2 linked regions of the Schizosaccharomyces pombe genome follow. The protein of the gene in region 1 purifies or fractionates together with the protein of each later gene. This does not show direct contact. Each region holds a gene or a part of one and is shown on either strand. Other genes may lie near its edges.

Region 1 (9,462 bases):
AAGAAAAAGACAGAGACCACTTCGTCAATTGAAACTTGTATTCTTAAACTAGTGAATATGAAATGTGAACTAGTAAGAGCAGAAAATTAATTTCTCTATAATGCCAAAATCTACTTCATCAGCAGATAACGAAAACCAAAATTATTTTGGATTATACTATTAAAATATCTTCACAGTGAAAAAGTAATAAACAAAAAACCATCAAGAAAAATAAATATTAAAAGTTGCAAACATCAACTATTAAATAAAGTGTGAAACAAAAAGAGAATTCTTGCTGTATTGGCATGGGTGTTTTTAAATTGGTCAAAGAAATATTCATGACAATCAACCCCAGATATTCTCAGATGCCAAGAATTAAGTGCTCATTTGTATAGGGTAATTAGATGTATTTTGATCGTTTTCGAGATAACCTTTCAGTAAATCAAAGGCTATATTTTATGGCCCATACAAAGGGCGCGCGACTTCAACTACAATTAAAACTCAAGCAATGGTGCAAGCACTTCCAACACGATACCACCAACTTTCTTGAAGTTGAGTTAACCAAATAAGAACCAAAACCAGTCGATCGGTCGGGTTGTCAACTTGCAAAATGCGAGTTTTCTCAAGCTCTGAGATAGGAAGAAGATTGGTGATTTTGTAAGACAAGTCAGCAATTGACTGTCTAGCCTCCATTTTTATATCGATTAAAGGTACAACCCAATGAACATATGTTCGGCGGGCATTCATGTAAAAAGCATCTATTCTTTCAACTAATTCTTCATTACTTAGATTACCATACATTAATAGATATTCAGGCTCAGGAAATTGGAGTGGAGTGGCTCTCAAAGGAGTATCATAGTGCTTTTCAATTTTCACTCTCGGAAACAAACCATCAGCTCGAAAATCGATTATACGAACACAATATGAACCACGGGCTTCTACAAGACTTCTCCCATCGATCAAAGGCTCGACTTGGATAATTTCTAAAATTGTACCATACTCAGAACAAAAAAGACGTTGACCACGAGCATTTCGAAGCTCTCGATGCTCATTATGACCATCACTTCGTGCTCTTAAAGGCATTGCAATACAAAATCGCTTAGAAGTCTCCAGACATTTTTTGATCATGATGTGGTATCGCAGTTCAAAAATATGAAGGAATGTCGGCATTCTGGGATATGCAAGCATGCTAATAAATAACGGAAGCCAACTTTCCTGTTCCTTTTCTTCTTCCCATGATTTTTGACGTTCTAACCAATTATCTGGGTAAAAATCTCGCAAAAATGTGGTAATAGAGTGGCTTTTCGCATGTTCCAACACAACAGGAGATGGGAGCCCAAAACGACAAGTCGGGCATTGAGGAGACTGGGTTAGTGCTTGCATAAGGCAAGGGCCACAAAATGTATGTCCACATGGAGAAACAACTGGGTCATAAAGCATGCCAAAACAAATTTGACATTCCAATTCTCGAGAAACATTCTCTTGTAATAGGTCCTCCATATGTAAAAATTCAGCTACTGCAGTCTCATAAGAAGATGAGGAAGGTATTAAGTTATGAAAAGTGGGAGGCAGCAGAGTAATTTCAGTCAATGCAGAAGTACAAGGTGGTGACGAAGAAAGACAATCGTCATGACAAATTTCCTCCTTTAATTCCAGCGGTACCAAACTCTGCTGAGAAATTTGAAACTCTGTAGTTTTAATCAATTCAACCACTTTGGAAATGATCACATCTTTCACTTCGGTCTCTACAGAATAATGCGGTTTCTTATGGTTGTAAAAGCAACATCTTGAGGGACTAACTTTTCCAGAGCTTTCCGAAGAATATGCGTTTCGAAAGCATTTCCGACAGACTGTTCCTCCACAAGGAAGTGTGACAGGCCAGTCAGGCAAACAATTACAGCCCGGACAAATAAAGTAAGACCTTATTTTATTAAATAATACTCCTGGCCTTTCTTTTCTCATTTTTAATCGCTCGTAAAACTAATTCAGATGTCGATTGCTAATGTCAAGTAATTTTACACTCGTTAATTCCATGGATGACTCCAGAGAATACTAGAAACTTAAAAATATTGTTTTTTTTTTTTTAAGAAAGAATATGAACCTTCTTCAATTATTTCAGTCGAAAAAGGAAAACCTCATTAATTCATGAAATTACTGATGACATATCTTCATCACGCACAAACACTTGCTGTAGCTATCTATAAAATAAAGACTTATTAACAATTCTTAAAAGGATTTATTCCTTTAATTTATGTTAATAAAGCAATTCACAACAGAAAGACAAAGTGATGCTGTGTTGTAAACGGATGACAGCATAAATATGGTGACATTATATATATATATACATAATATAACGTTACATCCGTGTGAATTGCTAACATGATGATGGAAAAGTAAAAAAGACGAATATTGCAATTAAAAAGCTTTAATAATTAAAATAAATTAATAACTTTAATTGATAAAAGTACAGGAAGTAATTACCAGTTTATTATGGTGAAACGGCAAACAATTGTATACCGATATATTACATACTGATCGACATGTGACTCTTACTTTCAGTACAAATTTAAGATGATGGTCAATTAAGAAGATAGGCGTTCATATATTTCATTACAAATAATCATAAAAAAAACAGATTCATGAAGAAAAACCAAGCAAGGTGCTAATCAACCTGAAAGACAAGGCAATCTCAATGGCACGTTTATAAAAGGGTACCGGAATTCTCTAACCTTAGTAGGTCAAGCCTGAATGAAGTAAAACACCTAGGGGTAGAATATGCAGAATAGGAAGAAAAGCATGAAAGCAAATATTCAAACATTGTATTGAAAAAGAAACCCAACCAAATCTAGGACCAATAAATTATGATACATATGTTTTCAATGATTCTTGTACGGAATTCCAGATTCGCAAGTTCCGGTTGGCCCAATCTATATGACTATCGGTCAAACGGTTTAAAATTCTGTTTAAATCCTGACGATGCGTGTCTTGGTAGCGCTGGAACTCAAAGTTTACTCTGTCAGTTACAAATGCGACATCCTTAGTGGTAATCAAGAGCATGTCCGTAAGATGGGTAACGCTTTCTGCGGTCCTACCGATGTTGTTGTGTCGCGATACTTCCACATTATTATCAGTTAGACCATTCAATACAAAACGTATTCTATCAAATACATCACGAATCGTGCGCGGTAAAACAGTAACTGACGTCAAAGAGGTATCTTGTGATACTGTTTCAAAATCTTGACTTTGATTGTGCCGTAAATCCCGCAAACACTCTTCCGTTTGCTCTCCATTTCCATCATGATAGTTTTCCAAGGGCTGATCGGTTCCCATCAAGGGAACCGACGGCTCTTTTGATTCTTCATCATTAAATAGGGGATCTTCTTCGGGAATAGTTGAACGAGAAGTTTGAGCGTTATTTACACCCAAAGTAGCTTCCGATTCCCTATTGAGTATTACGTCCCCATCTACCTCACCAATAGCCTGTTGTAGACGAGCAGCATGTCTCTCCCTGCGCTCCAAAAGATGAAGAAAGCTCTTTTTTCTTGTGAGAAGCTCTTCGACCATTACCTGTTGAATAAACTTCATCTTTCTAAAGATAAAAATGTGACGCATATTTTTGGCGTCTTTTGAAAGCTCCTGAAGCGGTTCTATTACCGCGATTACAAAGTTGTGCATAAAGTCAATACTAGCAAGACATGTGTGATCATTTGCTTGTCCAACCTTTTCCAGTGCTGTCAAAAGCTTTCCCGACTCGGATAACGAAAGAGCGTTAAACATTGCCCCCAAAGTAGAGTGTGCGAGGCAATACTTAGAGTTTGATAAAACAATTTGATTAAATAAATTGGATTCCTCTTGTGCTACTATTGAATACTGCTGTAGCGTATCTTCAAGCATAAGAAAATTTTTCCCAACATCGTCATAATTGTCACGAGGTACAAGGGTTTTAGAGGGAATAGGCAGCTCCTTGTATAACTCAGCATTCTCTTTAGAAGAAGGATCAGCTGGTGGGGCTTTCAATAAATCCTTTGGGAGACAACTAATAGGAGGACTATGCAATACTTCCTTCCAAGATACATGTCGACTAAGAAATTTTCGAAAAACTTCTGAAAGGCCCAGAATAGGGTGTTGTGCTACCCTTCTCAAAAATAATTGTAATAATCTCTTTCTTTCTTCGAGCATACGAGACATTCGTTGGTTTTTGGTGACGTTTATCAAGTAATCCATGATTTTATGTTTATCAGGTAATGGAGGAACCAAGCAAGTAGGATACAGGCGGCTAAGTTGTACGCGCAAAGAAGCAAATTCTGAATATCGATGGTGTATTTCTGAGTCCTAAAAACCGTTAGTAATCAAACATTTCAATACTTCCAAACAAAAGAGAAGAATGAAGCAAGGATTCTACAATGAATAGTTCGACTTAATACATTATCAACCAATTTCCTTAACTTACTTGAAGTTTGATTATATATACTATGTGTGATCCACTCTCAGCCTTCATAGCTCCAGTAATTACAATTCCGTTTGGATCGAGGGCTGAATCAACAACACTATCTACGTCCTTTTGAAAAAACATGTTTCTACTTTGAAAACTCTCATTCGGTTGGCTAATCGCATTCTCTTTGACAGATGAAGAGCCCTGGTGCTGTGATGGCTCAACTTTTGGCTCTACATTGACAGCAGAAGAGGCGCTTCTGTTGTCAGAGCCAGAGAATGGATTATTATCTTCAAAAAAATCCATTCAATTGTTTCTCACAACGTCCAATTTCAATTGCAATGCTGAATAATGGCGTTTGGAGTTGACAAGTACAGACAGTCATACTGTGTTGATTAATGCATTGCGCTATGCTTATTTTTCGCAAAACAAAAAATTTGTCCCAATTCAATTTCGTAATTTAAACAATTGATTCTTCACTTTATTATTTTATCAATATATCTTATTGAGTTTATAAACGCTTTTAGCGCGAATCTCACATTAATTGAAATAGTACGTCTAGTAGTTAACCTTTAAGAATTCACTGTAATTATTTATCTTTCTTATATTCTATAAAAATTATTTAAAAGTATAGAAAATGTGTACATTTTCGTTAGAAACAAATTTTCCAATTCCCACAACCTTTACACAATCGATCTGCTTTCTAAAACCTTTTGAAACTGAAGTAATGTTCGAGTAAACAAAACATTTCCATCTTCCGATTGCTCTTGAAAGTTTAGTAAAGTATTGATGGCATTTATCGCATCCTTTGTTGATAACAAATACTGTGACTCTTCCTCTTCTTCATCGGTTTCAAACTCTCGTTCATCAAGAAATTGAGCAGCAACTTGGTTAACGATATCGTCATTAGTGTCAGCAGAATTTTCTTCAATAGGGTTAATAAAATTTTCGATTTGGAAAATATCCTTATCACCAAGGTATTTTCCTATCAATTCTTGCAAATTCACCGCGATTCTAATGGTTTCTGGAGAAGGACCGGTCAGTGGTTGCTGATTTTGAAAAAGCCCAGAACGAAGGAAACAATTGTATATTATAGATGGTTCAAAGTCAACGTTCCAAGAACGAATCATCCATCTAACTGCTTTTAGTACATTCATTGTCTTACTGGGGTTCTTTCCCAATCGAATCTCCTCAAGCATGTAATTAAGCCAGTATTTTCTGTAGTATGATTTAAAAGCGTAGACTATCTCTTGGCCACAAGGATGGTAAATTTCTGTAGAATTTACAGGAAGGAAAACAACAGTCGTGTTTACCAACTTTCGCTCGGAATTGCGAATATTTTCCAAAGCGCATTCATGAGCGACAAACTTATCCAGTATAAGTAGAACTTTCCTACCCTTCATCAAATCGTCAAACCAACGAAGCCATTCTTCCATAATGGAAGTGGTCATCCTAGCGGTTCCATTATATCGCCAATGAAAATCCATGGAATCAGGATGAGCATTTGCTTGCCGAAAGGCCCTTGGACTTTTAGCATATCCAATCACCCAAAGAGGGGCCTTTTCAGAACCTGTAGCATTACAACAAATAGTGACGGTGACACGAGCCTTATCTCTCGTAATTCCTTTTACTCGTTCACTCGCAGGAGATTGATTGGGAATAAGTTTCCAGCATAGCCCCGTCTCATCCATATTAAAGATGTCTTTTGGATCAAAAAGACTTATTAATTCCTGTATTTGAACCATGTTTTCCTCATACGTTCCTTGATTTACTGAAGTAGATTCACCCTGTAACTTAAGGCCGTGTTTTAAACAACGCTTTTTGAACTTCTCTAACCAACCGTTACTAAATTCTGGAATCGGAAGCTCAGAGTACTCCGGTATACGTCTCCACAATTCTGCGGCGCTTTTTTTGATGGCGTTTCCAGTAATTGCTCCGTCTTGTTTTTGCAACCTCGTTTGCCAGTCAATAAGGGCGTTTTCTAAGATAGGATATTTTCCTTGGCGGTTTCTTCTTATTTGAGAGTTTTCTGCGTCTAGATTATCTAAAAATTCGTTCTTTGATGATAGAATTGACGAAACGGTAGATTGTGCTAGCTTTTTATGAAAGTGCTCCTCGAACCAACTAATAAGCTCTTGTTGCGAAGGTTTAGTTGCTGACTCAAAATAATGTTTTCTAATTGCTTTTTTTTCAGCTAAAGTCAACGCTTGACGCCTCAATGGAGGCATTCTCTCAAGTTTACGAAAAAATCGTTGTAAGGGAGGTAATCGCGGCTGTCGTGGATGATATGGATGATATCCCGATATGTTTGTGATATTTGATATATTAACGTGTTTGTTATTATAATATTATTATAATATTTTCGTTATGGATATGTTAACTATCTTTATTGCGACAAGTTGTATGTATAATTGTAATATTCGTTTGCTCTTAAATCGCAATTGTTGGATATCTCAACCACAGTGGAAATTAAATAAAGTAAAAGATAAGAAGTAAAATAGGTTTAACTTAAAAAGAATTTGAATGCCATAATTAAGCGATTTAAATAAGCTGAGCATATATGAGAGTATTCTAAATTATATATTTATGGCAATCTTGATTAAAAGGCTTTAAAACAAATCAGCACCGAAACCTACAAGACGATCGGAAAATGAAGTTTCCACTAAACTAGGTCGATCTGGGGCACCATGTATGGGAGCATCTTTGAGCTTTTCAGTTACATCGCTTAGTGAAACATTTAAGTATATCTCCATAAACTGTCCAATTTCAATGTTCTCCATATTTCCTCGAAGATGTTCAGTGACCTCTCCTACTCCATAAACGTTTACATCGACAGCAGTATGGCCGTGAGTGGTCCAGCCAATTTGTGCTTCTACACTAACAATATCACTAAGCACGTTTATAAGATTAAATATATTATGCCGGGCCACGTATATGTCATGAATCTGCTTTGGATTAGGGTCAGGAATGCCAATTGCGGGTAAAACAAACTGTTCAATATAAGGAAGCAACGTATTTTGGTTATGGTTCACGATAGCTGAAGCGAGATATTCAATAGAATGGAGAGCAAGAGATAGGACTTGCGGCTTCCATAAATACTCTGGATATTTTTTGGAGACCTGGCGACCAACAGTCAAACCACCAGTTTCATGATCCGATGTAGAGATTAAAGATCCTCCATTCTTTTCTACAAATGCACTTGCTATTTCAAAGGCCCTGTTGTATTCCATAACTTCGTAAACATGAGCGATAGGGTCATTGTTGTGAGAGGCCATGTCAATTCTACTCCCTTCTATGAGCAAAAAAAATCCTTTAGATGTATCTTCATTAGTGGCGTTGAGCAAAACATCCAAAGCCGTCTCTACCATTTCAGAAAGCTTAGGTTGCACTTCAGGCTGATAATCAATATCATAACTGAGATGATAATCAGAAAACAAACCAAGCAAAGGCAATTGAGCGTTTGATAGCTCATCAAAGTCAGTTCTATTAAGCAAAATTTGGAAACCTTCTTTTTTCCTAGCATATTTCAAAAGATCCAAGTTATCGGATCTACATGATCGATAAGTAGATTTAGGTAAGAATGAACAAAGTCCACCACCGAACAATAAGTCAACACTCCTTCCCAAAGGTCCCATCCCGACTTGGTACTCAGCAATTAAATCTTGCATGAATCGATTCGCGGCATGAGCAGAGAAAGAGGCAGGTGTAGCGTCGGTAACTCTGCTTGTGACAACAATTCCGGTTAAGTAACCGGCTTCTTTAGCAGCCTCTAAGATAGTTCCACAAGGTTTTTCATTATCCAAAACACCAACAGCTCCGTTGTAGGTTTTATTAGCACAAGAAAATGCGGTTGCTCCGGCTGCACTATCCGTAATCAAACTCGAACTGGAACGTGTCCGTGAACTGCCAATTAAATGCTCATCCAAGGGAAGCCTATAACCCTCTTTATCGTTTAGAGTCTCTACAAACGATCTAGTCATAGACAAAGAGCCAGGTCCCATTCCTTTAAAAAAAGTCAGTCACCGAGAAATATTGTAAAAAAAAGGAAGATTCCGTCCCAGTGCTCTAAATATAAAAAAAATCATTTTCCTTCAAAAGAGCAACGGATTTATGAGAGAGCTTACTCCAATCACTTACCGTCAGAAACCATCATAATAACAAATTTTGGTTTCTCATTGGTCCCTTTGGACTTATGAGACGAGAAAAAATAAAAAAATATAACGGTTGATAAAACAAGGATTAACAGAATTCCATGTTTTATCCAAGTTTTCCAATTTCTACGAGAAGGGCTCTCCGGACCCTCGCCATGCACTGGCAGAAGAGGATCGCGCTCAGATGCCATTGAAAACTATTTAAACGGTAAAAATTGAATATCTCTAAAAGAAGGGATGTCAAAGGGTAAAGATCGTTTCAACGCGTATGACTTGTTGATGGATAGTACAAATTTTTGGTGTTGAAACAGCTCAACCATACATTGCATGACGTCATGGTTTAAAGTATTAACTCTCCATGTCGATCCTCGCTATCTTAAATCTGATATCGGATAGTATATGCACAAGTTAATCGAGAATGGCAATTCACCAAGTCCACAAGAAATAGCGTGATGGTAAAACTGTCTATATATACATGTAATATCTACTGTCAAATGCAAGTAGCTGTTGAAAATATTAGAATCAGCTGCTGACATGAAAATCCCGTATATCCAAAATTCGATGCAATTACCTTTCGACTATTATTGAGATCTTGTCATTAACGAAAAAAAATATATATAAGCAAATGAGTTGTGAACAGAAAATAAACAAACAAGTAAAGGACTGAACTGTTACTTGAAAATAAAGTACAGTGTTTAAAGTAGAAGACACATTGATGACTTATGATGGCAGTGAATTTTGAGGGTAATAATAATAAGAAGACAGCATTTTAAATCAGTGCGATATTAAAGGATCAATTGTTTTATTTACTTCATTGTTCATATGAACTTAAACATTATTTATATTTTTATTGTACAAAGAACGTGAAATGGAACTTTTGGAATAAAGAGTAGCTAATCA
Region 2 (5,905 bases), on another chromosome or scaffold:
AAAATTATATTTTTTCAACCTGAATCGCTAAAATACGCTTTGTTGTATTCATCCTATATGGTATTGGGTTATCCTCAAGGCGTAGAACTGGATAAGCATGCTTTTGTATAATAGATGATAGCGATATATGATATTGAGCGTTGTCGAAAAACGAATAGTTACCTGAGTTTTAAACAAATATAAACAGACTTATTCTTTTAAGAAGAGATAAATTGACTACTGTTATTTTCTGAATGCTGCCTAAAACATATATTGGAATAACTTACTAAATACTCTTCAAATTAAGGAAAAGCATAAGCTACAATTTCTACCCCTACAAGTAACGATTTTCCTTTTTTTTTACTTCCTCAAAACGGTCTTCTCGAACAGTATGTTCTCAAAAGTTTTCCGACTTTTTATCTCATAAAAAAGAAATTCAATGTTTCTCATGCATGACCTTTAAATTTCTCTTTGAAAAATCATGTGAAGCTTACTTAAAGAGATGTTTCAAATTTCTCTTTATGAAACGAGTATTTATCGGATTTATTGGATATCCACTTATGAAACACTACAGCAGAGCAAAACTTTCAAATAATTGTTTTATTATTTTAAAAGCTATTCCAGAAAAATTTGTTTAATTTAAGGCGTAAATTTCGCGCTAATTTTCCTAGAAATGACTGAAAGGTCGATTTTGTTTACGTCTTTTTGCATCATCCTTTCAAAGCTAAGAAGTTATCGCAAACTATTTCTCCATTATATTGGATTTATTTTATTTTGGAACATACAAACATGAAATTGAATGTGAAGAAATATGTATGTAGCTTCGTCTTTTAAGGGAATTTAATAAAAAGGATAATCAACTTAATTTTTTGCGACAAAACTAATTATGAAGCACATTCTTTTGAATCAATTTATCCAAAAAAGTAATAAATTCAACAGTGACAAGATGTAAGCATTATACGGAATACAACGACTCGAAATACATGGAATTGTATAACTTAATCACTCATTTAAACTTTTACAGAAATCTTCGGCTGAAATATACGGGGTAAAATAGGGCTTTTAATTGTAAAGCTTAGAGCCTGAATAAGTATGCTTTCCTTTATTTTAACATTCCTCAATTTGTTTTCAAGTACTTCACATACCTAGGAAGAATGCTAAATAAGGTACAGTGGGAAAACAACGTTGGTTGATTGTTAGTTTGACTTGCTAAGCTCGTAACTTTGAGGATATGGGCTACAATTTACGTAGAAAGGTAATTTATTAAGCCTAAGGATGGTTGCTTGCTCATTAAAATTGTCCCAATCCTACATATACGCTTTAAACTATATGAACCTCATCTTTTGTCGAAAAAGAAAGTACAAATCCTTCCTCATAAGAAATGTTCGGCAATCTCTTCTTTTTCAACTTTCAGCCTAAAATCGATATGACTACAGAATTTGAAATAGGGAATTGCATTTCTTACTAGTACTATTTAAATGTGTAAAGCTTTCTGGATTACCATCAGACCCTCATTTAAAAATGATATTTATATTATATGCTGATTCTTTAGGAAACAGCAAATGGACGACTTTCTGAATGTGATTTTTTTAACCATCATGTAAATCTAAAGTAGACTGTTGCTAATAACAGTTTCGTACGAAGAACAGAACTTTTTTAAAAATCTAATCTAAATTTGTCATAAATCTTTCGGAAAACCTTTTGAAGCATAAAAATCCCAGTTGAGTTAATGTAGTAACAATCATGTGTATGTACTCATACCTAACCATCACATTCCAGTAATCCACCTAACATCTTAACAACTCTCCAGCACACATACACACACATCATTATTTCAAGTCATTTCACACTTAAATTCACTTACAAACATCTAGAATAATTTTTGATTGAATCGTATTTTATTCATCTGAAAACCGACTGAGATTTAGTATTGTTTCCTTCGTATTGCATTTTTTACATTCGTCTTCTTTGGAAGTGGCGTACTAAGCCTTTTATTTGATTCCATCATACTTGTGAAGTATCCTTAAGCATCCCATGTCTGATTCTGTGAATTTGGACGAACCTTCAACTAATAGTACTCACTTTCTACAATGTTTAGTTACAGAACCTAGAAAGGAGCTACAGGGATCTCGAGACACTCATGTATCTTATCTAATCATCACTAAGGTAAGTCTTATTTTTGAAAAGTAACTGATGAATTATTTTTTGGAAATGTGCTTACTCTATGTTACTAGACCAATCTTTCGATTTTCACACGTGCGGAATGCAAGGTTCGTCGTCGTTTTTCTGATTTTGTGAAGCTTCAAGAAATATTATCACGAATGAATGAGGATTGTGTAGTCCCTCCTCTTCCCGCTAAACATAAACTTGGTATGCGTGCAATTAAATAGAAACTCGTTAGTGCAGTGATTCCGATGTCTTTGACTTTTCAATGATTCGTCACTAACACTTTTTGTAGAATACATCAAAGGAGGTCGGTTTTCAGATAATTTCATAAATCGAAGAGCCAAGCTGTTGAATCGTTATATTACACGTTGTGCTCTTCATCCTGTGCTGCACCAATCGCCTCATTTCATTGCATTTTTAGAAAATCCAAATTGGAATAATTATGTTCGATTCTTTATTCAGCCGAAATTGAATAACACATCGAAGTTGGACGAAATCTCGGATTCCTTGCTAAATGCGTTTTCCAAGCTGAAGGAAGAACCCACTGAGTTTGATATCCAACGCGACCATGTGCAACAGTTTATGTTTGGAATATCTAATTTGGAAGGATCCATTCAAAAGCTTTTACGTTTAGAGAAGGCTCTAGAATCTGATTATGAGGATGTTTCGATTCAGTTTGATCGATTGGCATCCTTGGATCAAGCTTTAGATGTGCCTATTGAATCCATTCAGAATGCATTGCAACAAACTGGCACAGAGTATGCTAATCTTACAGAAAAATTAACTTTATTGTTGGATACAATTAAAGACGTTGAATCTTACGCTCATTCCTTGAAAGAACTCTTGAAGCGCCGCGATCAAAAACAGCAGGATGTCGAGGCACTTCAAGAGTATTCTGCAAAGCTTTCTTTAGAGCGCGACAAAATATCTTCTGGCGGCTCTAATGGTTTCAGTTTATCCAAAACTCTGGACGACTTGCGTGGTATCGATCACAACGATACTAGATTAAAGCGCTTAGAACATGTACAATCGGAATTGCAGGCAGTTGAGCAAGCTATTCAAGAAGCATCTGCCGTTCATGACGCTTTCAACCAAAGGGTTCGAGAAGAATCTAAGCTTTTTGATTCCGTTCGTCAAAGCGAGATGCTTAGTGCTATTTCCGATTACGCTAATGTTCATGTAGAGTTTTTTACAAATATTCGCGACCTTTGGATACGTGTTAAGCAATAGGTTACTTTACTCAAGCCCCACAGCATATGTTGTTTTGATCATGTCTCGATTAATGAATCATTGACCTGCTTTTCTTTTTTAATTTCTAAATATTTATTAATGATAATGATTGTGCATGACTTCGCTGATTACTTTTTTTATCATCAACAATTTCATAATCGGGAAACTTTTTTTGTCTGTATTTGTTTGTAAGTTTATTATGATTATTATTAGAAAAGAAATAAAATAAAAAATGAATTGAATAAATTAGAGAAAAAACAAACAGTGGGGTATAAGAATCGTAAAAATGAAAAAACCGGTATTGCAAATAGTAAAAAATTAGAAACATATTAATGGTAATTCTTGCACGATAATAGCACTCAAACATCTTAATACCATCTACTATTGAATGAGGATCCGTACTTTTTCTTAACCTTCTTAAGTTCCTCCCTTATTTTCTTGCTATCAAAAAAAGCATTTGATTTTTTAGGAGACAAACTGCGGCCTTTTTGCATTAATGACTTTTCAATCAACTCCTTTTGCTTATTTTGACATTCTTCTGCTTCTATTTCATACAACAATTGAGATTGTCGTTCTCTCAAGGGTTCGGGAATAGGTTCTGAAACCAAATCCACTTCTTCATCGAGAACTTCAAATCCAACAGCAGCTAATAAAATTGGCATTGATTCTCTATAAGCCAAATGTCCCGAGACAAGATTAGTAACATCGATGTTTTCTATCCCCGGAATACAATCTATTTGACGCAAACCCGCAACTCGCCCAATGCCACCAGAAGTGGCTCGAAAAAGATAGCCAAGGATCCAATCATTCTTTTTGTAACCATTGACAAACCTTCCAGAAACGACAGATGCAGCTTTAAGCCAAGAAGTACGTTTAAAAATAACAGGGGTGCCGAACAAATATACATTTTCAATGATGCTAAACTCTTTTTTTTTCTCTAATTCTCGCAAACAATAGTAAATAACACGAGCCCCCAAAGAATAACCAACTAAGGTGACTGGGCGGACGCCAAGGGACCGATAACATAGCATATCGGCTAAAAGCTGACCGGTAGCCTTAGCACGGTCTAAAGAATTATTCCACGGATTGTCAATTAGATATCCTAGCTTCGTTAATATCAAGGGCCACTGTAAGGCACCCATTAGAGAAACTAAGACGGTGGATCCCAATACCTGTTGAAGAGACTGTGTAACCACTTCTGTTGCCAAAATGTTCATAGTCTGACCAGCAGAAGCAAGCATTTCGGGCTCCCAAAAAACAGAATAAATATCACCCACGATAGGATCAAGTGTAGCAAAAGAAAGACGGACATCATCTTCTTTACTTAACATCCAACCGGAAACGGTGACGATGACATTGGCTCGTCTCTGTGCATGTAGCGGTCTAAATTCAAAAGTTTTAACATCGGCTTTTCGATGAGCCATGCCAGTTGTACCAATATGAGCTCCTGAAATTGCACCGCCAGCAGTAATTAAAGCAGCACTACCACCCCCGGCTAAAAAACCAGACGTAGCAACTCCAGATAAGCCAACAGTGGTGAAAGCAGCTCCAATGCCTGCACTAATAATAGGAGCCAGTAATCCAGAAGAGAGACCGATCACTAGGCCGCCTCCGATACCTGCTAGGCCCATTAGTATATACTTTTTACGCCTTGATACTTTACGCCGCAATTTCATGACCGCTTCAGTGTTTGCACTTGAGCCGGCTTCTAATTCGCCGGTATCGTCAATCTGAATTGTTTCAACAATATGTTTTTCAAACTTTGCAACATCAAACTCATTAATGTCAAGAACCTCGCCAACAGCCATAAGTAGAGAACGTGACCGACAATCGTAAAGCGATTTAGAAATGAGGACCAGAAAAAGATCACACAACACAGTCCAACGAACATCAATTTGTACCGGTTTCTCTTTCCCTAGGCTACTTAGACTATCGCTGGACTCAACTTCGTCAACAAGCACTGCATCAAGGCTACTGACTGTTTGAGCTCTATGGGCAGAAACTAAAATCTTGGACAAGTCATCTATTTGGACTGAATGTTTGTGAAGATTTTCTATCATCTTCTGTTCCTCTACTGTGACGCCGAGATGTTCATATATGCATGAAGTGGTTTTGTCAGCCCACATAATGGTGTCTTCTAATGCGGCCTTACATTCACCTCGATACCATGGCAAAGTTGTAAAACATGCAATTTTATCAACCATTTTTAAAATTAAAAGCCGACATACGCCAGCGTATGCCATTTTCTCGGTTTCAGAGAGTATGTTGCCAGTGATTTCCAATTGACTATCCATGCTAATTTCTTCGTTGCCATGATCAGCAATGTCTAATAATTTAATGGCTTCACTGTCTAACTGATGCTTTTGATCGTCGTCTTCATCACGAAAAACTCGGGTGTAGCGAGGTTCAAGCTCACTCTCTTCAACTTTTTCAGTTTCTTTCTTTTCTTCTATTATTTCATTATCATCATCGATATCATTGATTAAATGGGTTGGTTCCAACGATATAACTTCCATTGGTTGCCAATTGC

What was found. Proteins that work in one complex are often made in the same cells at the same time.
Region 2: the proteins of snx41 (region 1) and atg24 purify together in Schizosaccharomyces pombe (affinity purification with western blotting; one study listed by BioGRID). This does not show direct contact.

What each region holds. Positions count from the first base shown.
Region 1 is NC_003423.3:4,175,772-4,185,233, forward strand, and holds snx41 (sorting nexin Snx41), read right to left. Parts: upstream 4,778-9,462; 5' UTR 4,718-4,777; coding exon 4,430-4,717; exon of another isoform or gene 4,312-4,429; coding exon 2,839-4,311; 3' UTR 2,555-2,838; downstream 1-2,554. Other genes in the region: SPOM_SPBC14F5.10C (ubiquitin-protein ligase E3), read right to left, coding at 481-1,941; cbh2 (CENP-B protein 2), read right to left, coding at 5,095-6,639; pho8 (alkaline phosphatase), read right to left, coding at 7,021-8,414, 8,549-8,753.
Region 2 is NC_003424.3:2,752,755-2,758,659, forward strand, and holds atg24 (autophagy associated protein Atg24), read left to right. Parts: upstream 1-1,768; 5' UTR 1,769-2,013; coding exon 2,014-2,145; exon of another isoform or gene 2,146-2,213; coding exon 2,214-2,349; exon of another isoform or gene 2,350-2,437; coding exon 2,438-3,375; 3' UTR 3,376-3,626; downstream 3,627-5,905. Other genes in the region: SPOM_SPAC6F6.11C (pyridoxine-pyridoxal-pyridoxamine kinase), read right to left, coding at 20-52; SPOM_SPAC6F6.13C (uncharacterized protein), read right to left, coding at 3,744-5,905. UniProt on the Schizosaccharomyces pombe protein: Sorting nexin, involved in the separation or division of vacuoles throughout the entire life cycle of the cells.